Linked DNA regions of Xenopus tropicalis. The protein of the gene in region 2 binds, or shares a complex with, the protein of the main gene of each other region. Links are inferred from orthologs where the notes say so. Each region holds a gene or a part of one and is shown on either strand. Other genes may lie near its edges. The genes, in order: nell1 and robo3.

Evidence for each region.
Region 1: the proteins of robo3 (region 2) and nell1 are in contact, whole or in part, in a crystal structure (PDB 6POL), measured with the Homo sapiens proteins. The link is inferred for Xenopus tropicalis from reciprocal best matches to the Homo sapiens genes ROBO3 and NELL1. Residues at the interface, in NP_071765.2 of Homo sapiens: Ser553, Pro555, Val590, Glu592, Phe594, Pro596, Asn600, Thr601, Trp602, Thr604, Ile624, Leu626, Arg630, Gly633, Ala634, Trp635, Gly636, Leu637, Ser638, Glu639, Pro646, Val647, Arg648; in NP_006148.2 of Homo sapiens: Ala440, Lys441, Met442, His443, Tyr444, His446, Tyr458, Arg468, Val469, Asp470, Asp471, Phe472, Ser473, Asp478, Ile492, Cys493, Thr494, Asn495, Thr503, Cys504, Lys505, Pro506.

Annotation. Positions count from the first base shown.
Region 1 is NC_030680.2:4,705,686-4,717,963, reverse strand, and holds the start of nell1 (protein kinase C-binding protein NELL1), read right to left. Parts: upstream 6,094-12,278; 5' UTR 5,994-6,093; coding exon 5,945-5,993; intron 1-5,944. UniProt on the Homo sapiens protein: Plays a role in the control of cell growth and differentiation. Promotes osteoblast cell differentiation and terminal mineralization.
Region 2 is NC_030683.2:75,091,718-75,103,413, reverse strand, and holds part of robo3 (roundabout homolog 3), read left to right. Parts: intron 1-381; coding exon 382-548; intron 549-1,384; coding exon 1,385-1,506; intron 1,507-3,127; coding exon 3,128-3,344; intron 3,345-5,927; coding exon 5,928-6,052; intron 6,053-6,830; coding exon 6,831-7,002; intron 7,003-7,273; coding exon 7,274-7,462; intron 7,463-8,218; coding exon 8,219-8,242; intron 8,243-8,336; coding exon 8,337-8,373; intron 8,374-8,826; coding exon 8,827-8,975; intron 8,976-9,348; coding exon 9,349-9,624; intron 9,625-9,895; coding exon 9,896-10,034; intron 10,035-10,443; coding exon 10,444-10,668; intron 10,669-11,235; coding exon 11,236-11,411; intron 11,412-11,696. UniProt on the Homo sapiens protein: Receptor involved in axon guidance during development. Acts as a multifunctional regulator of pathfinding that simultaneously mediates NELL2 repulsion, inhibits SLIT repulsion, and facilitates Netrin-1/NTN1 attraction.

The DNA.
Region 1 (12,278 bases), on a different chromosome or scaffold from region 2:
AGTAGGGCAAGTTGGTTACAGCAGGGCTTCTATAATGAATTCCTAGGGCAGGTGGGGCAGTAGGGCAAGTGGGACAGTAGGGCAAGATGGTTACAGCAGGGCTTCCATTATGAAACCCTAGGGCAATTGGGACAGTAGAATAAGACTGAGACAGTAAGGCAAAATGAAGAGGGTATGGCAAGAGGGCAATTCAGTAAAATGAAGACAATAGGGCAAAACCGATGCCCTGGGGCATTATGGAGACAGATGGAAAACAACAGAGACAGCAGGACAAGAAGGGCCCAGGTGAGCAAGAGTGAGACACCAGGAGATGATAGAGACAGCTGGTTAGACAGTTCTGACTGGGTTCTAGGCCCCCGCACCAGTAAAGAGGCCTTGGCACTACATGAAAGTGCTTGCAAGCGGCACATATACCCAGTGAGGTATTTATAGTGAATATTAATCCCTGTGTCAGATGAAGGGTTCGGAAGGATTGCCAACATTCATATTCCGAGAGGAGAATTCCTGCTTGGCCGACGCACGGCATTAAATATGAACAAGGCGCCGCTTCCCTGTAACGCGCAGGATGACACAGTTTCGCTCGAGAGCTGCTCTCGATTACGGGGCGAACGCCTGAAAATAGGAACAATGTCATTTCAGGGGCATTAAAATTCATGAGACCCAGAAAATATCAACAAACCAATCTCACTCCACAAATGAAATAATCAAAGAGATAATTCTGGGGGGAGATGTCCCTTTTTGTCTTTTTGTTTTTGCATTTTACATTTAGATTTCAACCTTAATTGTATTTGTCACCCAGTGGTGCCCACCTAGCGATACCATTATAACTTATTATATTATCCCTTATAATACATGAGTGATACTCAGAGTTCCCTGTATAACTCAGCCTGCAGCCTTGTGCCTTTATATGGGGGGCACAGAACCCCTCAGTGACTGCTAATATCCTTATCATTTACAGTAGGGGGTACATTATCCCTTATAATACATGAGTGATACTCAGAGTTCCCTGTATAACTCAGCCTGCAGCCTTGTGCCTTTATATGGGGGGCACAGAACCCCTCAGTGACTGCTAATATCCTTATCATTTACAGTAGGGGGTACATTATCCCTTATAATACATGAGTGATACTCAGAGTTCCCTGTATAACTCAGCCTGCAGCCTTGTGCCTTTATATGGGGGGCACAAAACCCCTCAGTGACTGCTAATATCCTTATCATTTACAGTAGGGGGTACATTATCCCTTATAATACATGAGTGATACTCAGAGTTCCCTGTATAACTCAGCCTGCAGCCTTGTGCCTTTATATGGGGGGCACAGAACCCCTCAGTGACTGCTAATATCCTTATCATTTACAGTAGGGGGTACATTATCCCTTATAATACATGAGTGATACTCAGAGTTCCCTGTATAACTCAGCCTGCAGCCTTGTGCCTTTATATGGGGGGCACAGAACCCCTCAGTGACTGCTAATATCCTTATCATTTACAGTAGGGGGTACATTATCCCTTATAATACATGAGTGATACTCAGAGTTCCCTGTATAACTCAGCCTGCAGCCTTGTGCCTTTATATGGGGGGCACAGAACCCCTCAGTGACTGCTAATATCCTTATCATTTACAGTAGGGGGTACATTATCCCTTATAATACATGAGTGATACTCAGAGTTCCCTGTATAACTCAGCCTGCAGCCTTGTGCCTTTATATGGGGGGCACAGAACCCCTCAGTGACTGCTAATATCCTTATCATTTACAGTAGGGGGTACATTATCCCTTATAATACATGAGTGATACTCAGAGTTCCCTGTATAACTCAGCCTGCAGCCTTGTGCCTTTATATGGGGGGCACAGAACCCCTCAGTGACTGCTAATATCCTTATCATTTACAGTAGGGGGTACAGTATCCCTTATAATACATGAGTGATACTCAGAGTTCTCTGTATAACTCAGCCTGCAGCCTTGTGCCTTTATATGGGGGGCACAGAACCCCTCAGTGACTGCTAATATCCTTATCATTTACAGTAGGGGGTACAGTATCCCTTATAATACATGAGTGATACTCAGAGTTCCCTGTATAACTCAGCCTGCAGCCTTGTGCCTTTATATGGGCACAGAACCCCTCAGTGACTTCTAATATCCTTATAATATACAGTAGGGGGGCAATGTATTTGCTATGTGTTTTAGGTGTGGATTTGTTTGTACCTAACAAAGCCAATATTAAATATTTAACTAGCACATCAATATATATGAGTGGAATAGGCATCACTCTGTTCATTGCAACCGGCAGAGTAGGAGGCAAATCTAAAAGAACCTCTGATTCTTGGCTCTTGCTGGGAGATGCAGTTTAGCAATCACAAACACAGATGGGGGTTCACCCCGGTGATAACCCCCCGTATGATGTAATTCGGCAGTCACGTCACGCTGCTAATCGAGCTCTGTGAATATATATCTACAAGCCCCCAGAGTGAAATTGCATTAAATATTAATGGCGAGTGACTCTCCCTTGTTGGACCCTCCGTGGCTAATCACAAAAATTGCTGGGGAAGGGGGGATTCTATGGAGGGTGGGAGTCGGCCGAGCATGATAGCCTCAAAGACTGGGGAAGAAAACGAGGCCTGCGGCTGTCTGGCAGCACCCACCTCCTTAGCTCTCAAGCAGGGGGTAAAAATAAAAAAAATTGCCACCTTTTAACCCCTTCATGGAATCCCAGGGACGGGCAGCGGCCGGCGACAAGGCTCACACTCTTTCATGCAGAGAAGGAAAGAAAGCGCCAGTTCCTGAAGCCTCACAATATATAAATATATATATATATATAAGTATAAAGGGAAAATGTCTGGGATAAAGGGAAATAGCGATACAAGGAGGCCACCCACAGATAGATGCGATTAATGCTGTTATTTCAGCAAATCTGGTTAGCAAGTTGCAATTCCTTTTGACAGGCAGGCTGTACGACTAGGGGGCTTGGGGGGGGGGTTTGTTTGTAATCCGCTTAGCCAACATTAACCCCTTGGCTGCTGCGCCAGGAGGAAAGTTCCCTCAGCCGCAGAAGTTCAGCAAACGATTATATTCCGAGAAAAAGCAGCGAAGAGAATGTCATGTATAAAACAACAGTTTTTATTCCCCCCAATACAATGGAATTCTACTGCGCCGGGAAAGTGAACCCTGATGTCCCTGTTATTTAATGAGCTCCATAGGCGACATGCAAGCTGTAGGGTAATATAGGGTTCCATACACATTGGGGTGTAGCCTGAGCACCCCAAGATTCCTGAACTGTCTTCCCTTTCCATAGTCACCCCAATATTTCTTCTACAAACACAGGCTGGACTTACTACTGTCTGCAATGCAGAAACCCCACTAATCTCTCCCCAGATTTCCATGTAAGGACGGACCCAATTAATAAATCATCTGACCCATTCGATAACATGATTCCTCTGCAGAGCGCCAGTTTAGAATGGTTCTGATTCAGACCTAACTTGCAGTTCAGACATCAAAATGCCCCCCTCTTGCCCCTAGACACCCAAGTGGGAAAGGTCCCAATACCGAATCACCCGGTCCGAGTATCTAGGTCTCTATCTACAAATATCCGGGTCAGAATGGCCCCAGTATTGAAACATCTGCTCCGATCAGCACCCCCGACACTCCAATGTCACATATACCCACATACAGGGGAGAAAGTTCCCAATAATGAATCATTTGGTCCAATATGCACCCCAAAACCACACTGTGGTCCCAGCAAAGAAAGGTCCCCAATAGTGAGTCTTCTGGCACAATCTGCAGGTAAGAATGGCCTGGTCCTAAGTCCCCCAGTAGCCCAGTCACCCCCAGTGTCCTCTCCAGGGCTGACTGGTCCTGATGTGGAGATGTTCTGTAGTCCAAGCAGATCTAGGCTGCCGGGTCGGAATGGTCCTGATGCCAAGTCTCCCTGTAGAGACCCAAATATTTCTTCTCTAGACATTGTCCATGTATGGAGCCACCTGGCCCCAAGTTAACCCCATTCACCCCCAGGTAAAGCCCAGTAGACCCCGGATACCATTTGCTAGGAAGCTGCCCTATCACAGCGCCAGTGACATTTCAGCAGAATCCCAGTAAAGATTATGGGCATGTGGCGGGCAGGCTGCCCCTGCAGTGCCTCATTACACCGCTCTGCTGAGTGACAGGCTCTGGGTGGAATATATTACAGATGGAGAGACCTGGGCACCTTTCATTGCAGTGTTAGGGATCTGGCGGGCTTGGGCTGAGAATGGGGGGCAATTAGTAAGTGCTAATAGTCCGTACAGCTGGCACTGGGAGAGATCAGACCCAGGGTCTTGTTTATTAACAAAGCGAGGCTGGGCTTGTCTGTACCCACTGGCACTGTCGGTGCCCACTGAGCCCTCAGCCGGAGCTATAATACCCCATACACAGTGCCAGCCCTATTCTACATATATTCCCCCTGTGCCAAGCGGCAACACTTTCCATGCTCACTTGAATGCAATCAACAGCTGTGCCAGGATCCCGGCAATATTTACTCGCCCGCCTCTGTCTCCCAGTGTGGTGCCACGCACAGTGCCACCCAGTACAGCTTGGTGTTGCATCTGTGTCCCCTTACCCTGTGCCACCCAGTACAGCTTGGTGTTGCATCTGTGTCCCCTTACCCTGTGCCACCCAGTACAGCTTGGTGTTGCATCTGTGTCCCCTTACCCTGTGCCACCCTGCACCCACAAATAATCCCACATTGTTCTACAGCCCCTGCACATTCTGTCACCCCGGGATAACACTTAATCACACATTGCTACAGCGAGTAGCCCCCCCAACGCCAGCTAATCACTCAGTGACAGAACAACCAGCCTCAAACCACCACATAATTACACATTGCCACAAAATAACCCACAATACCACCCAAATCTGATTGTTAATCTCAATACCACCTAAAGACATATTGACATAACAATTAACCCCCAGGTACCACCTAGCCACCAACAGTTAGCCCAGTTAGCCCCATGTGCCACCCCAGTTACTGTACTAAACCCCCCAATCATACACAGTTCCGGTTCCCTCCACTGCCCCCAGAACACTATGTAGCCAATAAACAGTATTAGAGCAATTAAACCCCCAATCACCCAATAAATGCTGATATAACACACAGATACCTCCCATTCAAGCACTGATAGAACAATTCATCACAAAATACCCTTCTGTACCCCCCCCCCCCCCATTGCCCCTGCTATAGCACCCATAACTCCCCAATGTGCGGATCTCAATCCATATTACAGCACCCACCTCCCAATCCCACCGATAACTCCCTGCTGCGCCTTCCAGCCCCCTACCTGCCCTCAGTCACAGCCCATCGCCCAATTGTGTAGCCCAACACTGCCCAGAGCCATAGCACCCATCAACCCTACTACATCTGCTGTACCCCCAAATGCCCACAGCCATAGCACCCATCAACCCTACTACATCTGCTGTACCCCCAAATGCCCACAGCCATGGCACCCATCAACCCTACTACATCTGCTGTACCCCCAAATGCCCACAGCCATAGCACCCATCAACCCAACTACATCTGCTGTACCCCCAAATGCCCACAGCCATAGCACCCATCAACCCTACTACATCTGCTGTACCCCCAAATGCCCACAGCCATAGCACCCATCAACCCTACTACATCTGCTGTACCCCCAAATGCCCACAGCCATAGCACCCATCAACCCTACTACATCTGCTGTACCCCCAAATACCCACTCCCCTATACCCATCAACCCTACTACATCACCCACTGCCATCTGCTGTACCCCCAAATACCCACTCCCCAATACCCAGCAACCGCACTACCCATTGCCCTCCGCTATAGCATCACTCGCTGTTATACCCCCACCTATAGTTACACCCTGTGCCAGTCTGTACCCTCAACCGGAGCCGCCGACCCCATGTGTCCCCCCAGAGGCCCCCGACCCCTGCCCCTTACCTGCTCTGGCAGTCAGTACCCAAGCCCACACAGCCAGCATTCCATCCATTGGCGCAGTGAGCGGAGAAGGAGCCCCAATAATCCCCCGGCAGCCGCTAAACTTCCCGGTTCCCCCGCACAAGCCTCACTGACACACGGACAGCTTCCCCGGCTGGGAGAGTCTGCCGACCGTACCACTCCAGTGCAGCGGGGGGGGCTCAGCCAGACCGAAGCCAATCGCACAGTCCCTTCCCCAGCGATGGAAACACCCAGTTCTACATACAAGCTCCCTGCCGTATGGCCCCCCGATTCCTTAGCGACTGTGAGGTGAAAGGGAAGGATTTATTACAGACGGACCGTTTCTGCATCCATCACCCCCCTGCCCGGCAGGAATGGTTTAGCCCCAAGCTCCAAACTCCTACTGATGTTTAACATTAAGAAATGTGCGGGCTGAGCGCTCAGGGCAGGCAAGGGTTAATCAGTCAGACATTGTGCCAGGTGAGTACTGAGGGGAGGCAGACATTGTGCCAGGTGAGTACTGAGGGGAGGCAGACATTGTGCCAGGTGAGTACTGAGGGGAGGCAGACATTGTGCCAGGTGAGTACTGAGGGGAGGCAGACATTGTGCCAGGTGAGTACTGAGGGGAGGCAGGGGTTAATCAGTCAGACATTGTGCCAGGTGAGTACTGAGGGGAGGCAGGGGTTAATCAGTCAGACATTGTGCCAGGTGAGTACTGAGGGGAGGCAGGGGTTAAAAGCAGTACAAAAAGGGCAGAGTGAGTACTCAGCACAGATGGGGGGGGGGTTAAACAGTCAGACTATGGGGAGTAGCCAGGGCAGGCAAGAGTTAAGTTGTTACACAATGTGAAAGGTGAATACTCAGGGCACAAAGGGGTTAATCAGTCAGACAGTTTGCAAGTTGAGTACTCTGGGCAGACAGGGGTTAATCAGTCACACAATGTGTAGGGTGAGCCACCAGGGCAGGCAAGAGTTAAACTGGTGCCACATAATGGGCAAGGGGAGTACTCTGGGCAGAGAAGGGTTAAGGACTTGGGGTCATTATGGCTATGGGATACCTGAGGGGTTAATATGAGAGACAGGGTTCCTAAAGTGTTTATAGGTTGGCACTGAATTGGGGTGACAGTGAGAGACTGAGGGGGGAGACAGGGCCCAGGGCAGGATGAGGTTAAACACAATGTGCCAAGATCCAGTTTAAGCCTCTAACGTTTCACATGATCCTACAAAAAGTCTCATTTTATTTAACAAAATCCCACTTTTTTTTTTTACTCTACAAAGCAATAGACCCACAGGAGGCAGTTAATGAGTGGCAGGTAATGAGTGGCAGTTAATAAGTGGCAGTTAATGAATGGTGCTGAATGGACAGCTCCGGGCTCAGGCCCAGGATACAGTCTGTACCCTCAGAACCACCAGCTAAACAATAGGGACAGTGTTACACCCTAATATCTAAAGCAATGATAAGAAGAGAGGGGCGGAGCCAAGAGTCAGGATGAGATAAATATGACTGGGGGGGCGACAATATTATGAAAGAGATCCAATGAAGCAGGCCCGGACTGGCAATCTGTGGGTTCTGGCAAATGCCAAAAAAAGCTTTTTTTAAATCCCAGTGCCGGCCTGCAGTAAAGGAATGTTCTGGGCACACAATAAGCTGTACCCCCATACTGTACTGTCTAAGGGAAACACTATGGCACCCCCTACCCATATGTATAAATACAAATATACAGAGAAGGAATGTTCTGGGCACACAATAAGCTGTACCCCCATACTGTACTGTCTAAGGGAAACACTATGGCACCCCCTACCCATATGTATAAATACAAATATACAGAGAAGGAATGTTCTGGGCACACAATAAGCTGTACCCCCATACTGTACTGTCTAAGGGAAACACTATGGCACCCCCTACCCATATGTATAAATACAAATATACAGAGAAGGAATGTTCTGGGCACACAATAAGCTGTACCCCCATACTGTACTGTCTAAGGGAAACACTATGGCACCCCCTACCCGTATGTATAAATACAAATATACAGAGAAGGAATGTTCTGGGCACACAATAAGCTGTACCCCCATACTGTACTGTCTAAGGGAAACACTATGGCACCTCCTACCCATATGTATAAATACAAATATACAGAGAAGGAATGTTCTGGGCACACAATAAGCTGTACCCCCATACTGTACTGTCTAAGGGAAACACTATGGCACCTCCTACCCATATGTATAAATACAAATATACAGAGAAGGAATGTTCTGGGCACACAATAAGCTGTACCCCCATACTGTACTGTCTAAGGGAAACACTATGGCACCCCCTACCCATATGTATAAATACAAATATACAGAGAAGGAATGTTCTGGGCACACAATAAGCTGTACCCCCATACTGTACTGTCTAAGGGAAACACTATGGCACCTCCAACCCATATGTATAAATACAAATATACAGATGGGGGGGTAGGACGCCGCCCTGGGGGGCTGTGGGCTGAACGTGGCTCCTTTCTCTCACTCGGCCCCTAGGGCAGCAATTGTTGCTGAAATGAGAAGTTGTCGCCGCTCCGGGAGAGGTTTGATTGCAGAGCAATTGCTGGGAAAGTGCAATCAGCGCTTCTTTCAAACCACCGTCGGGGTCGCACTAGTGGGGTTGATAATAAAATTGGATAATGTTGCCCTTTTCATAGTCTCGTAAGACAAACTGGGGGGATTGAAGGAACAGACACAGATGGATGTTTCTTGCAAAACTGTTGAATATTTACTTGTAGAGGAAGTTTTAGTCCCTTTGTGTCCCAAATACATTTGGGCCCAACAACAGAGGGTAAAAATGGAAAGTTACCAATACAAATGGGGATCCAGTAGATTCAGTAACACTGGGAAGAGACAGTTCTGTAGGAAAATATTTCTAATATAGGAAAATCGAGTACTTCAAGAACCAATGAAGGGCCTGACACCATCTTGCTTTATTATCGGCATCGTTCCCTACTGCCTTCATTTTGCCCTTTTGTCTTCAAATTGTACTTCCACCATGTCTATTGTCCCCATCTTGTCCTACTGGTCCTACTGTCCCCATCTTTTCCTACTGTCTCCATCTTTTCCTACTGTCTCCATCTTCTCCTACTGTCTCCATCTTGTCCTACTGTCTCCATCTTCTCCTACTGTCTCCATCTTGTCCTACTGTCTCCATCTTGCCCTACTGTCTCCATCTTGTCCTACTGTCTCCATCTTGTCCTACTGTCTCCATCTTGTCCTACTGTCTCCATCTTGTCCTACTGTCCCCATCTTCTCCTACTGTCTCCATCTTGTCCTACTGTCCCCATCTTCTCCTACTGTCTCCATCTTGTCCTACTGTCCCCATCTTCTCCTACTGTCTCCATCTAGTCCTACTGTCTCCATCTTGTCCTACTGTCTCCATCTTGCCCTACTGTCCCCATCTTCTCCTACTGTCTCCATCTTGTCCTACTGTCCCCATCTTGTCCTACTGTCTCCATCTTGCCCTACTGTCCCCATCTTGTCCTACTGTCTCCATCTTGTCCTACTGTCTCCATCTTGCCCTACTGTCCCCATCTTGTCCTACTGTCTCCATCTTGCCCTACTGTCTCCATCTTGTCTTACTGTCTCCATCTTGTCCTAGTGTCTCCATCTTGCCCTACTGTCCCCATCTTTTCCTACTGTCTCCATCTTGCCCTACTGTCCCCATCTTGTCCTACTGTCTCCATCTTGCCCTACTGTCCCCATCTTGTCCTACTGTCTCCATCTTGTCCTACTGTCCCCATCTTGTCCTACTGTCTCCATCTTGCCCTACTGTCTCCATCTTGCTTTTCTGTTTCCATCATGTCCTACTATCCCTATTGTTTCTTACTGTCCCAATCTTTCCCTACTGTCACCATGTTTCCCTACTGTCTCCATCTAGTCCTACTGTCTCCATCTTGCTCTGATGTCTCCATCTTGTCCTACTGTCTCCATCTTGTCCTACTGTCCCCATCTTGTCCTACTGTCTCCATCTTGCCCTACTGTCTCCATCTTGCTTTTCTGTTTCCATCATGTCCTACTATCCCTATTGTTTCTTACTGTCCCAATCTTTCCCTACTGTCACCATGTTTCCCTACTGTCTCCATCTAGTCCTACTGTCTCCATCTTGCTCTGATGTCCCCATCTTGCCCTACTGTCTCCATCTTGCCCTACTGTCTCCATCTTGCCCTACTGTCTCCATCTTGCCCTACTGTCTCCATCTTGCCCTACTGTCTCCATCTTGCTCTGATGTCTCCATCTTGTCCTACTGTCACCATGTTTCCCTACTGTCTCCATCTTGCCCTACTATCTCCAAGTTGTTCTACAGTCTCCATCTTGCTCTTATTGTCACATCTCACCTTACTTTCTCCAACTTGTCCTTCTCTCCCCATGTTACCATGCTGTTTCCATGTTGCCCTACTTACTATACTCTTTGTTCTCCAGTTATCCTACTGGCAACTACTTCTCTTTGCCTTTATCTGCAGAGCCCGGGGCTAATGCCTCTGTGTGCATCTGACTAGAGACAGCTCGGAGTTGAATTAATATTCAGTACAGGATTCCCTAGCAAAGTGCTTTGTTTATGTACATATATTAGTTTATGTCCATTAAGGTTGAACTTGACGCATGTCATTTTTCAGCCTAACTTACTACGTTACTATGTAATTAGACAAACTATGGGGGGGTCATCCCTTGGCTCTGTGTGATATGCAATTACAAACCTGCAAAACAATAAAAGGGCAATATGTTTAATTATGTGTATGTATCAATAAATGGGGGTTACCATATTGCTTAGTCTGGTGAAAAAAGCGAAAGCTCTTTCTGAAATTCCAAAGCATCCGGCGCCCCCTAGTGGCCCAGCGCCTGCCAGCTATCCATCCTTTCCCCCATCCCTTGGTTTTTCCGTTTAGTAGACACATGTCACGGGAGGCACAAAGGACGATCTTTTCCTAAGGAGACTTCTCTGGTTTTCTCGAGCTCGGGAGAAGCCTTTCCCGACATCAGGACAATGACAAGGAGATTTTATCTGCAAAGAAGAAAGAGCCCATCTCCAAGACAACAGATTCATTCTGCCCATATTTAGTAATTATTTTATTAGTGTATTGACATCACCGGCGCCGCTCGCTGATAGGTGCCCTGAGAGGCCTCTGTTTGCTCCCCGCGCTCTTCCAATCTTTTATTTATGAACATGTCCTGCAGCGATGTACATTGTGCCGGGCTCATATGGAGACGTGACAGGTTTTCTTTCTAAGTTCCCCAGAAACCATTATATACGGCCAAGTACAACTTCACTCCATTCCTCTATTTCTGCCTCTTACATCAGCCGCCTCCTGAGAATTTACCCGAAACCATTGGTGTCGTGCCAGATTTAGGGCTAGATATCACCCTGAGGGTAATAAAAGTTCTCTGTGTCTAAAATGTTCCTTTGCTTAGTACAGGGGAATCCCTATGTGCCATAGTTTTATGGTATCTCTCTGTACAGGCTATGAGCAAACTTAGGGGGCTGTTCCTGCTGAATTGTGCTTAGTACAGGGGAATCCCTATGTGCCATAGTTTTATGGTATCTCTCTGTACAGGCTATGAGCAAACTTAGGGGGCTGTTCCTGCTGAATTGTGCTTAGTACAGGGGAATCCCTATGTGCCATAGTTTTATGGTATCTCTCTGTACAGGCTATGAGCAAACTTAGGGGGCTGTTCCTGCTGAATTGTGCTTAGTACAGGGGAATCCCTATGTGCCATAGTTTTATGGTATCTCTCTGTACAGGCTATGAGCAAACTTAGGGGGCTGTTCCTGCTGAATTGTGCTTAGTACAGGGGAATCCCTATGTGCCATAGTTTTATGGTATCTCTCTGTACAGGCTATGGGCAAACTTAGGGGGCTGTTCCTGCTGAACTGTGCTTAGTACTTAGTACAAGTTGCCCCAGGTTCTGGTCCGATTGCCATCTTGGGGTCAGGAAGGAATTTTACCCCTCTGCGGCAAATTAGAGAGGCTTTAAATGGGGTTTTTTGCCTTCCTCTGGGTCAACTAGCAGTTAGGCAGGTTATATAAAGGCAATCAGGTTGAACTTGATGGCTTTGTGTCTTTTTTCAACCTAACTGACTATGTTACTATGACACATCTGGCAGCTTCACATTGCTACAGTCAGGGATTAGTCAGACTCATTTACCAACACTGCAAATTTGCAGTATCCCATAGCAACCAATCAGGGATTTGCATTGTTCAGCCATCTGATGTTTAAGCTATGAAAGCAAAACTATGATTTGTCGCCATGGGCTACTAATGTGTGCAAATTTGCCCAATGTCAGTAAGTGAACCCCACTCTGTCTGTCA
Region 2 (11,696 bases):
TTGCAAACCACCTGACAACCTCCCCCGTTCTTTCTCAATAATAAAAGGTTATACTGAATTATACTGTGTGCTTACACATGGAACTCCTTTGTTTCTAGGCAAAACTGATATTGCTGGGTCATTTTGTAGTTTTTTTATAGTGAATAACAGGGATGTTAAAAGCAGCTTTTTATCTTTAATATCATTGTAAAGTCCATGGTGTTGATCCTGTGAGAGATCATTCTCCTTTAACCAATATCAATATGCCTACTGAGGAATTAAACAAAAGAAAGTACATGTACCGAATTGTGCATAAAAGCCTACTGCAATCATTTTGTTGCAAGAGAATCTTTTTAACATATTCTTTATCAATAAATCTTTTTCATTTTTTTTTAATTACAGCCAATCAGCAGGAAGCACCTGGCAAACAGTTGCAGACAACGTGAAAGTAGAAAAGCACACGGTGGTTGGGTTGAACCCAAATACAATTTATCTTTTCATCATACGAGCAGTAAATTCATATGGACTTAGTGACCCCAGCCCAATTTCAGAACCAGTGCGAACACAAGGTGAGTTCTGGGGCTTTCACTGCATGACAAAATCATTCATATTAAATGCAGTGAAGCTTTTATAGTGTTGAATACAATAGGGGTTCTAAGCATCATTTGCATTGACTCTTAGGGGCTGATTTACTTACCCACGAACGGGTCGAATGGAGTCCGATTGCGTTTTTTTCGTAATGATCGGTACTTTGCGATTTTTTTCGTATGTTTTGCGATTTTTTCGGATTCTTTACGAATTTTTCGGATCCAATACGATTTTTGCGTAAAAACGCGAGTTTTCCTATCCATTACGAAAGTTGCGTAAAAAGTTGCGCATTTTGCGTAGCGTTAAAACTTACGCGAAAAGTTGCGCATTTTTCGTAGCGTTAAGTTTTAACGCTACGAAAAATGCGCAACTTTTCGCGTAAGTTTTAACGCTACGAAAAATGCGCAACTTTTTACGCAACTTTCGTAATGGATACGAAAAACTCGCGTTTTTACGCAAAAATCGTATTGGTAACGAAAAATTCGTACAGAATCCGAAAAAATCGCAAAACATACGAAAAAGTCGCAAAATGTTCGTTTTCAAGTCGGAACTTTTCCAATTCGGGTCGGATTCGTGGGTTAGTAAATCAGCCCCTAAGAATCAAACTTCAGCTTAAAGTTTGGCACTTATTGCACATATTGTCATGCATTCTTTATTAAAAACAACCGTACTCCCCTCTGAACTGGAGGCCCCCAGAGCTGAAGAACAGATAAGAGATGAATGTGGGTCAAGCACTGGTGGACTCAAAGAAAACTGAACTTTAGTATAATTGGCATGCATGCTATGTTAATAAACTCTTTTATGCCCATCATTTCAGATGTCAGTCCAACGAGACAAGGTGTTGATCATAGGCAAGTGCAGCGCCAACTAGGGGAAGTGGTGGTTCAGCTTCAACAACCGATTATTCTTACATCCTCTACTGTGCAAGTTACATGGACAGTAAGTTGTGTTTAAATATTTAAGTGAATTTCAATACTGTATCATTGCATTTCTTCTACAGCTCAGTAATTAAGATGTGAACCCCTCCTTTTAATTTCTCACACATTTCAAATTTAATTTATCATTTAGACTTAGAAACATCCAGAAGGTTTAATTCAGATTTAAAATACTGTGGGTTGAATTATAAATGATTATGAGTTACTATAGATTGTTATGCATCTTGAATAGCAAGGAGGAATAAGTCAATATGTAATTATATCCAACAAGATTTTTAGTTTCAGATAAATTATATACAATTTATTATGTAGAATTTAATTGAGTTTATTTTATTATGTCTTATTTCTTAACATTAATTGATATTGTGTTGTAGTAGGGAACCAGCAATATTCCTTTGTGTTCTAAAAAAAATATTTTTTTGGTCGCTACTGTTGCTGCTAGAGACAATGTTATTTACCATTATGTTATCATAGCCTTCTCTCCATTACTATGTTATATTTTTTTATTTTTCATTATAAGTGGCACGTTTTTTGCATTTGTATCCCTGATTTTAAAATTACACAAAAGATGTTAATTGATTTTCTGTGCCTGTTAATGTAGAATTCTAAGCAAAAGACATTTTAATGGGATATTTTAAATTAATATAGTAAAATTATATTGGTTGCCGTGGGAAACTGGTACTTCTATCCTTGTTGCTTTTGGCAACCAAGTTTAGCCAATCAGAGAGCAAATGCCAAGGAATAATGTAACATCCCCCCTCTCACATTAAATAAAGAATTAATTGAATTAGATACTGTATCTAGCTTTTTTCTGAGCCCCACAAAAATGTAGCTTCTGATTACCAATACCCCTCAAAAGTATGTGTTTGAGTAGTAATTAATCTTCGATAATACAATTATACATTGCTGTCTATATATATATCAAACTCAACAGTAGAAAGCACTCACAGCTACAGCATCAATCAGGTCAGTGATTTATTTCAGCATACCATCATATATAGTATGCTGACTATATATATATATATATATAGTAAATGATAATGAGTAGCTCCTACATTGCAGAATAAACGAATTATAAGCCTATAAAATCTTCATCCACTCTCTGACATTTAATCGCTTCTCATTTTGGTTGTCAGAATGGTCTTTAACATTTCCCGCTTAATTTAGAGAACATTAGTTAAAATGCTTTAATTTACAATGGTTTGTAACCACTTACAATGTTTTAATTGAAATTAGCCAAATTCTAGTTAATTATTGCTCCATCTAATACTGACCTTTCCCTTGAAATTATTCATGTTATAAGAAAATCAGATAAGCTAGGAGATTTGTAGCATTTATATTAATCTTGCTTTGGATTTATTATTCTCTGTCAGAGGGGAACCATTCTTTTTAATGCCCTCTAGAAATAAGTAAGGGGTCCTACCTGAGTTAAGCTGGTTGATTTCTGGTTTGGAAACACAAAATTTTGGTTGTATTGCAGCTTCAATTAACTTCTCTACCTCTTTTAGGCTGGTAGTATAGCCTAGGGCAATGGGAAGCTCTATGTTATTATCAACACAAATGGCAAAAAAAGAAATGTATCTGTCCATATATTTTTTGTAATTACATGTGGTCTCCTCTTTCAGGTGGATCGGCAAGCTCAGTTCATCCAAGGTTACCGGGTGATGTATCGTCCAAAATCTAGTGTTTGGCTTGTACAGGATGTGAAGTCTCCCTCTGAACGGAATACTATCCTTGTGGACCTCAAAAAAGGCACAGAATATGAAATCAAGATCCGTCCTTATTTTGATGAATTTCAAGGCATGGACAGTGATGTGCTTTTGATCCGTACACCTGAAGAAGGTAAAATGCCTAGCAAGGAATATTAATACAAAATGTATATGTGTGTATATAAAATGTAGAAATGTACAATGACTCCTTGACTCTTTTTCCTTTGATCATTAATAAAGAGTCAAATGGGAATGTAAAAGCCTTGCTCAGTGAAAACATTTGTATTTCCATATAAGAAAATTTGCTACTTTACCTGATAATTATGAGATGAGGCCTTCAAAACTAATATGCTGGCAATTAGTGGATGGTAGACATTCTGTTACTGGAATTTTGTGAAATATATGTGCATTTAGCAATTAAGTGTTGTGGAATATTACAAAGGGCTTGCTTTTATAGAAACCATTATTCATGAGGCATGCAGTTTTATAAAGCCACAAAGAATGCAGGAGAGGATGTAGTCTGTATAATCCATTCTTAAGTAACAAGCAGCCTGGCGAATGTGTCAAAGATTACAATGAAACGACTTGATGGTTGGAAAGATTATGCTGCTGAGAGACTGTAGGAAGAAGGCAAGATAAAACATTTTACCTTTAGGAATAGAACTTGTCACTGCAATATATAAAATTTATATTGTTTACTTTTAATCAGATGTTAAATTACCTGAGCCAGCATAATATTTCCTTTCTCTATACTTCCTATACACTGTTTTTATCTTTTGATGATTTTGAGTCAGTTGAATGTCACATTGCTGCACATCAAAACACAGATTTACCTGAATTCTCTTTTTCTGTAAAATAAATTAAATCCTTCTTACTACTATGTCAGAAATCTTGCCTGTATAAAAAATCAGATTATTGCATTTGGGCTGTCAAAATTACAAAGCAATGAAATATCAGTAAAGTAAGTTCTTCAAAAAAAAATAAATAAAAAAAATTGCCCCTTTTCCAATCACAAGAAGAAGCCAGGTTTACACAGAGTAGCCAGGACAGTCTGAAGAGAACCTGTTACTTTTATGAGCAAGGGAAAGTCTAACTGAACAATTTTGCATTAAGAATCCATCCAAGATGTAGCTGGGCTGTAACCTCTTGGATAACATTTTAATGTGAGTAGTTAACCTTTGCACACCTTTTGATGAAGTATCCAACTTTTAAATGTTAATAAAGTTTGCACACTGTATTATAAAAACATTGTAATTCAACTATGATTTTTTTCAGTGAGCATAAAATATTTATCAGCATAGAATATAAAAATAAATATAAAAAAACAGGTTGTAAACAGGTCAATCTAGTTAATCCAAGCTGTGTATTTTTAGTGCAACATGCAAAGTTGAAAGAACAGGCTTAATATATAACAAGAATGTAAGAACAGAATCTGTGTGTTAATTTACATTTCTTTTCAGAGATATGTGGTTAGTGCCAACATTCTTTCTATGAATATATTTGGGGATGCATTTAATGGGGTCCTTCTGCTGCAATTGCCAATGAAAAACACTATATTTGCTCTGTTGTAATGGAAAATCTATAGTAATTGCTTTCAGTTTGACAGGTTTGGGTGAGAAGAATTTCTGAGCTCAATCAGTGAAGCAAAGTGACTTGCTTAAATGTCCCTAGATGATTGAAATTTAGAGCTCTGTATTATTTTCAGATACGATATGACACTTTCCCCATGACTTACACTTGCTTAACTATATCTTAGGTGTCTTTTGTGCCATGCACCTTTGCAATTACATATGAAAGGCATAAATATCCAATATAGTCCCTTACATCCACTGTGATGTAATTAGTCCTACCCTGTATTGATACACACATATATATATATATATACAGCCACATTGCGATCCGCACTCCGAACTCTCCATTAATTTCTCTGTAATTATTGCCCGGGTGCAACCAGGGAAATATTACACAATTCGAGACACATCGTAGGCGCACTCCAGGGTCTTTTTCATTAAAGTTCAGTCTTTATTTTCACATTGCCATCCGATCAACGTTTTGGCTCTGGCCTAGAGCCTTTCTTAAGATTCAAATTTTTAAAAATGATAAAACATTACCTCGTATTTGATCCCAACTAAGATATAATTACTCCTTCTTGGGGGCAAAATCCTATTGTGTTTATTTAATGTTAAAATTATTTTTATTGACTTATAGTATGGAGATCTAAATTACAGAAAAACCCCAGGTCCTGAGCATTCTGGATAATAGGTCTCATACCTGTATATATACACTAATATAAGTATTAGCATGTATATATTCTAGTATATAAAAATTCTTGGAAAGGTTCACTGCAGTATCTTTCAATAGGCCTATATGTCAGCATAATTAGACTCAAGCCTTGTATCAGAAATGTTTAGTTCTAATAAGCTTTAAACATATATTTATGAATGTTGGAAGTGCTTATTTTATAAAACAATTAGTATGTCAATTTAAGTGATAGTATACATAGGATACAATGGCATCATTTCATACTTGCACTACAAAAACAAAAGCTTTTTTACGAGACCCACTGTGTGACATAGCTCTTAATAAACATTTATAACAGTGCTTCTTTTACTTTGCCTTGAATGAACAAATCAAGATATTTCTCTGCATATATTACACAGTACTTGTATATTGCTTTTCCTTTATTAATTAACATGTTTTGTTGATTTTCAAACAGTGCCAAGTGCCCCGCCTCAAGCAGTATCAGTTGTTACATTAGGAACGAATAACAGCACAAATATTAGTATATCGTGGGAACCTCCTATAGTGGAACATCAAAATGGAATTATTCAAGATTATCGGGTAAAATAATTTAAAATTTTTACAAGCTTAAAGTTTTGGACAGGGCTGTGGAGATAGTAGATAAATTCTCCGACTCTGACTCCTCAGTTTCTGATACTTCCGACTCCACGACTCCGACTCCTCTGTTTTTAATATGCTAATGTATTTAGTGAAGCATACAGTCAATGCTTCATGGTCACTCAATGTGTTCGTTTATGCACTGCGTGCATTGGGCTTTATTCTTATAGCAGAGAAGTAATTAATTATGACTGTTTGTGAATTGGGACATTTAAACTTGCTTTTTTTTTTTATTCCCATTTAAATTTAGTAGGAGTCGGAGTCGGTTCATTTTTTGCCGACTCCAGGTACCAAAAATTGCCCTCGACTCCGACTCCACAGCCCTGGTTTTGGACATTGATTTAATGCTTCCAATAATTTAATTGTAGGAGAGTTTATTGTTTTATTGTCTTATAATGTTGATTGAAAAATGTTGATTCTGCCTGCTTGGAATATATTCTCAGTTTCTAGAGACACCCGCCTCTAAAAGTAAAATGTTTATATGATGTCTTCAAATTGTGTTAGACTAGTAAAGGTTTTATTCATGGTGGTCCGGATGTCAAACTGTATTCAAATGACTGAATAATATAAATGATGGTAATCAAATAAATACAGCATATGCTTTTAATATACTAACTCTAATATGTTGTGCATTTAAACAGTTTATGTCAGAGAGTGAAATTGTTTAAATGCAATAGTAGCTAATATTAATCAATATTAATCTTATTTTTTTCATCTTAAGATTTGGGTCTTGGGAAATGAAACACGCTATCATATCAACAGAACAGTAGATGGTACTGTCCACTCCACTGTAATAAGAGGCCTTAGTCCTGGAGTTCTTTACCATGTGGAAGTGGCTGCTGCAACAAGTGCTGGTTTTGGTGTAAAAAGCCAACCAATCACCATCCAGATAAGTGAGTGAGAACAAACAGATTTGCTTTTTTTCATTTGGAATGTATAGACAGCATTCATATTTTCATTTAAATGTAATTTAACTTAATGGTAACTCATGTTGTAAAACCAAAATTAACTCATTTGTAGCTTTATCAAAGAAATATTAAGTGATTAAATACAGATGAAAATATTAATAGCACACTTGCTAACAAGATAAATATAGAAATGTCTAATTAATGTCCCATAGTTTATTTGCAAGCATATTTATCAAACATTTTCACCCTATTTCAGAGCCTTCTTCAGATCAAGTTCCAGTTGCCAGTGGAGAAAATGTCAGCTTGACTGAACAAATCACAGATGTTGTTAAACAGCCTGCATTCATAGCTGGCATTGGAGGGGCATGCTGGGTAATTCTAATGTGCTTTAGTGTCTGGATCTACTGCCGAAGGAAGAAGAGGAAAGAACTGAGCCATTATACTGGTAAGAAAAAAAATACCTTCAACAAACACAAACACCTTCCTTTGGAAAGCCTATTTGGAAAGGTCTTTTAATGCTGTATTCCATCAAAGCTAAATTTTTTTAAATTAAATATATATATTTTATATATATATATTTATTTATATTTACCATAAATTTATCAAGGCACATTTTGGTGGGTGACATAACTTGGGAGTCGACAGTACATACTTCAATAATATCTACACAATAAACTCTTTCCGTCCCACCCATTGCTTCATAGTACCCCACCTTCTCCATAAGGGTATTGCTTCTCCTCTTGTCCATCCACCTACACCACAATGCTTCTCCTCAACTCCTTTTTCAATACTGCTGTTGTCCCAGCATACCCCATTGCACACAAAAAAAAACAGAGCATAACTTAATGTAAGTATAAACTACACAGTTTCTGCTTAGTGGGATTTATAATTATAAAAAAACTGTCATATAAGTAAAAATGTATTGAAATTAAAATTTCTACAGAAAATACATATACTTATGGAGACAATATTTAATCTCCAGTTGATACCTCCTTATTCAAATATTTAAAGAAGTGATTGTATTTGAACTTTAATAAGTATACTATTTTAGAGAAATCCTAAAGAATTAAAATAAGCACAGCTTTATAAATTACAGAAAATATTTTGCTTTTATATTTTAGTAGGGGGCATGGCTAATTGTATGAACCCTTTTAAAATGTAATTTTATAACTAACATTTTTTTTTGTATTTTAATTTTTAGCTTCCTTTGCATACACACCAGCAGGTAATATTTTAATTTCAGCTACTTATTAGATGGAAGTTAATTTTTAATAATGTTACAAAAGTAACCTTTGATTTTTTTTTGTTCCTTTTCTCAGTATCTTTTCCAGAAAGCTCAGGGCATATTACTGCAAGGTAAGAGGAACATATTAAGCTGTTTGCTCAGGCCTTAAAACATTATTCATAGGTGCCCCTGTTGAAGGGAAGATCAAAGATTTTCAGCACTTGTTACAGAACTGTGCATCCCAGCATTCCTTTAACAGCTCCACATATTCATTATTATATAGTATATAGAGCATGTGGACCATGAAATGTTGCCCCTATATGTCCTGTAGTAAGTTTATACTTTTCTTAATTATGTTTTAGCTACATATCCATATACAGTAACTGAAAGTTGATGAGCACATGATGCTCATTCCACATGGAATGGTAGCTTCTTTAACAGCACTTACTGTTCCACCCATTACTTTTTTAAGAAAGATTTGCATTGCTTGAGTTTTGTACCAGAATAATATTGAAAATCTGGGTTAACAATTAGGTCTCGAGCTTTAAGTAATATTAATGTGACTTGTTTCATTTCCCATACAGACCAGGAATGCTAGCTACAAGTGCATCCAACTACCCTTGGCTAGCAGATTCATGGCCAGCAACCAACTTACTACGAAACGGAAAGCCAAAAGAACCTGCAGGGAATTGTTGTCCAGGAAATCACAATCCTTCAGAGAGATATTATAATGGTAAAGCGATACATTTTTATGCACCTCATTACTTCCTGATAGGAACAAAGTTATTCATCCAGTTACAGAGTTTAGGTGTGGAGCAAATCTTTCATAATATAAATATTTTACTTTCTTTAAGAAATTATTCTTTGAAACAAGAAGCTCTGCAGAATATATTTAGTTTTAACTATGTAAAGTCCATTTGGGATTGATCTTGTCCTCAATCCAAAGTTGCTGCTTAGGACACCTCTAAAATCACAATTGTCTATTTAACAATGTATTTATTATAAAAGTTTAGTATCCAAATATTTTGTAAAAGTATTTTAAGAAATAATCTGTGTATTACTAGTTTTCCATGTTAATGCTTGTGTTGTGGATTTGGTTTGAATAGATGCTGGCATTTCAAACTATATTGCTCAGACTGAGAAGTTCGGAACAGGTGTTTCAGATGGTCCCATATACAGTACAATTGATCCAACCACTGATGACATGCGAACTTTTAATGGAGCTTTCTCTCAGCATACTACACCTTATGCAACAACACCTGTTGTACCGTATGGAGGACAAAACATGCATTCTCCTGAATTAGAAGAGAACCAGTGGAATGTACAGGCTGGAACATCTGGTGTACTTTATGCACAACCAGATCGAACTAAAGCAGAGAATGGTACTTACATTTTATTTGTAAACCTTTATATAAAACAGTTAAAAACAGTCATTAATTTTCCTTAGGTATGTTGATTGCATCTCGTTAGAGTGAATAGGACTTTTAAAAGATATTATTTTTAAATAAAATACAAATTACTTTATGTTATAATTGCATTCCTAAAGTTATGTTTCTTTGCTTTAAATTATGAAATGTATCAGATATTTAGCTAGCATCAGGCCCAACATAATATTTCATCGTTATATAGCTATATGCATGTTGGCCTTTTCAGGTCCCAAATCTGGAAAGCAGAAGGCCATTGGAAAACCAGTAAAAACACCATCACTAAATTGGACAGAAATTCTTCCACCACCCCCGCCTGCCAATGAGCTGAGTCAATACCAAGAAGAAGATACAGATGTAGAGATGAGGTATGGATGACCATGAGTAATCCAGTTAGTATCTGGAAATCTGAACTGTTGTCATGCAAGTCATACTTTTTGTTGACATATTGTATGGTTATTTATTAGACACATTAATGTTCTCTCAAGCATTACATATTTATTGATAACTTTTCCAGCAAGCACATTGCTAAGGCAGGTGGATCTTTCACTTGGACCCTTCCTTTACATTGCTGTCCTTCGCTGTCAATGTATAGCTGTCCTTCACTTGCAGTGTATAGCTGTGTATAGAAGAATTTTAAGTATTAAAGAAGGGCCAGCTATGATGCAAGCTGCTATAAGTAAATATTTAAATAATTTAATTCCAAAGCTGTAGCATTGTTACTGCTGGTGTCCTGTGCATCCAAACCATTATTAAACCTTTATTGGTATATTATAGCTCCGACACAGAAGAATGGTGTCCACCATTGCCTGAAAGAACTTACCTCATGGAAAACATTCAAGAAGGCTGCCCACTTCCTCCACCTCGGGGTGAGGCTTCTTCTCCTGCTCATTCTTACGGTCAGCAGTCAACAGCCACTCTAACACCATCTCCCCAGGATGAGATGCATGCTGCAGAAGATATTCCAAGGCTACATCAGTTTGAGATACCCCCTCATCCTAGGTTAGAAAGCTTAGTCTGATTTTATATTTATATATAAACAACTAGAAAACATTTTGCTTTTGCATCACTGATTATTATTCTATGATATAGGTGGGTTAATTAACAGACTTTGTGCAGACATGTTTTTAAAGCTTCGACCAATTCTTGACTATGCTACTTTAGATTTTCACTATTTTACATCCCAATATATAGGATTTGTGTATTGAACCAAATAGTTGCCACAAAAACTGGTGCTATTATGTAAATAGGCACACACTGTGTATAACTGCATTACCCATAGCAAAAATCATAGTAAATAAATGTTACCGCTGTATTTTAAAACTGTAATTACAAAATGGAAAATATATATAATTTTACATGTTGTCCCTGTTTGGTGGCTTCCATTTACAGCTCCAGTTATTCTGGGCATACCCCCAGTTATACCATACATATTAATATAAAAGATGCACAGTCAGTTTATTTAAGGGATAAACATTTAAAGTTTATTGTTTGTGATAGGGCTATAATGTTACATAGGTACACCTAATATTGATTCACTTATTCAATCTTGTTTGTTCAAATTATTAGACGACTGCCATCTGGATCGGTACCAATTCCAAGAGCTCCAAGTCCTCCTCTGACACAATCAAATCCTAGTCTTCATACAGCAACGGAAGGTGCAGAAGCACAACGGCAGGGACACAGGCGGAACTTAAGCCAAAATCCTAATCTAAGTGCTGAAAATGTCAACTTGCCAAACAGCGGTAAGTAGAGACATAAATGTATAAATAATTACATATATACACATCAGTGTAGAGGAGTCATAACTCCTGTGCGCACACATGCTTAGAAGTCCAGGTTTCCCAATCAGCCACCATTTTATGCTCCTGTCAAAGAACAGTTATAAACAAAGGAAGTAAATTAACCCATTTTTACTAACAAACAGTGGTCTTGTGTCCCTCCTTTTTAACTTTTCATTAGAAAAAAACTTGTTGTTTTGAGATAAGTATCTGTCCTTTCACCCTATATTTCTAGGATATCATCCAGTT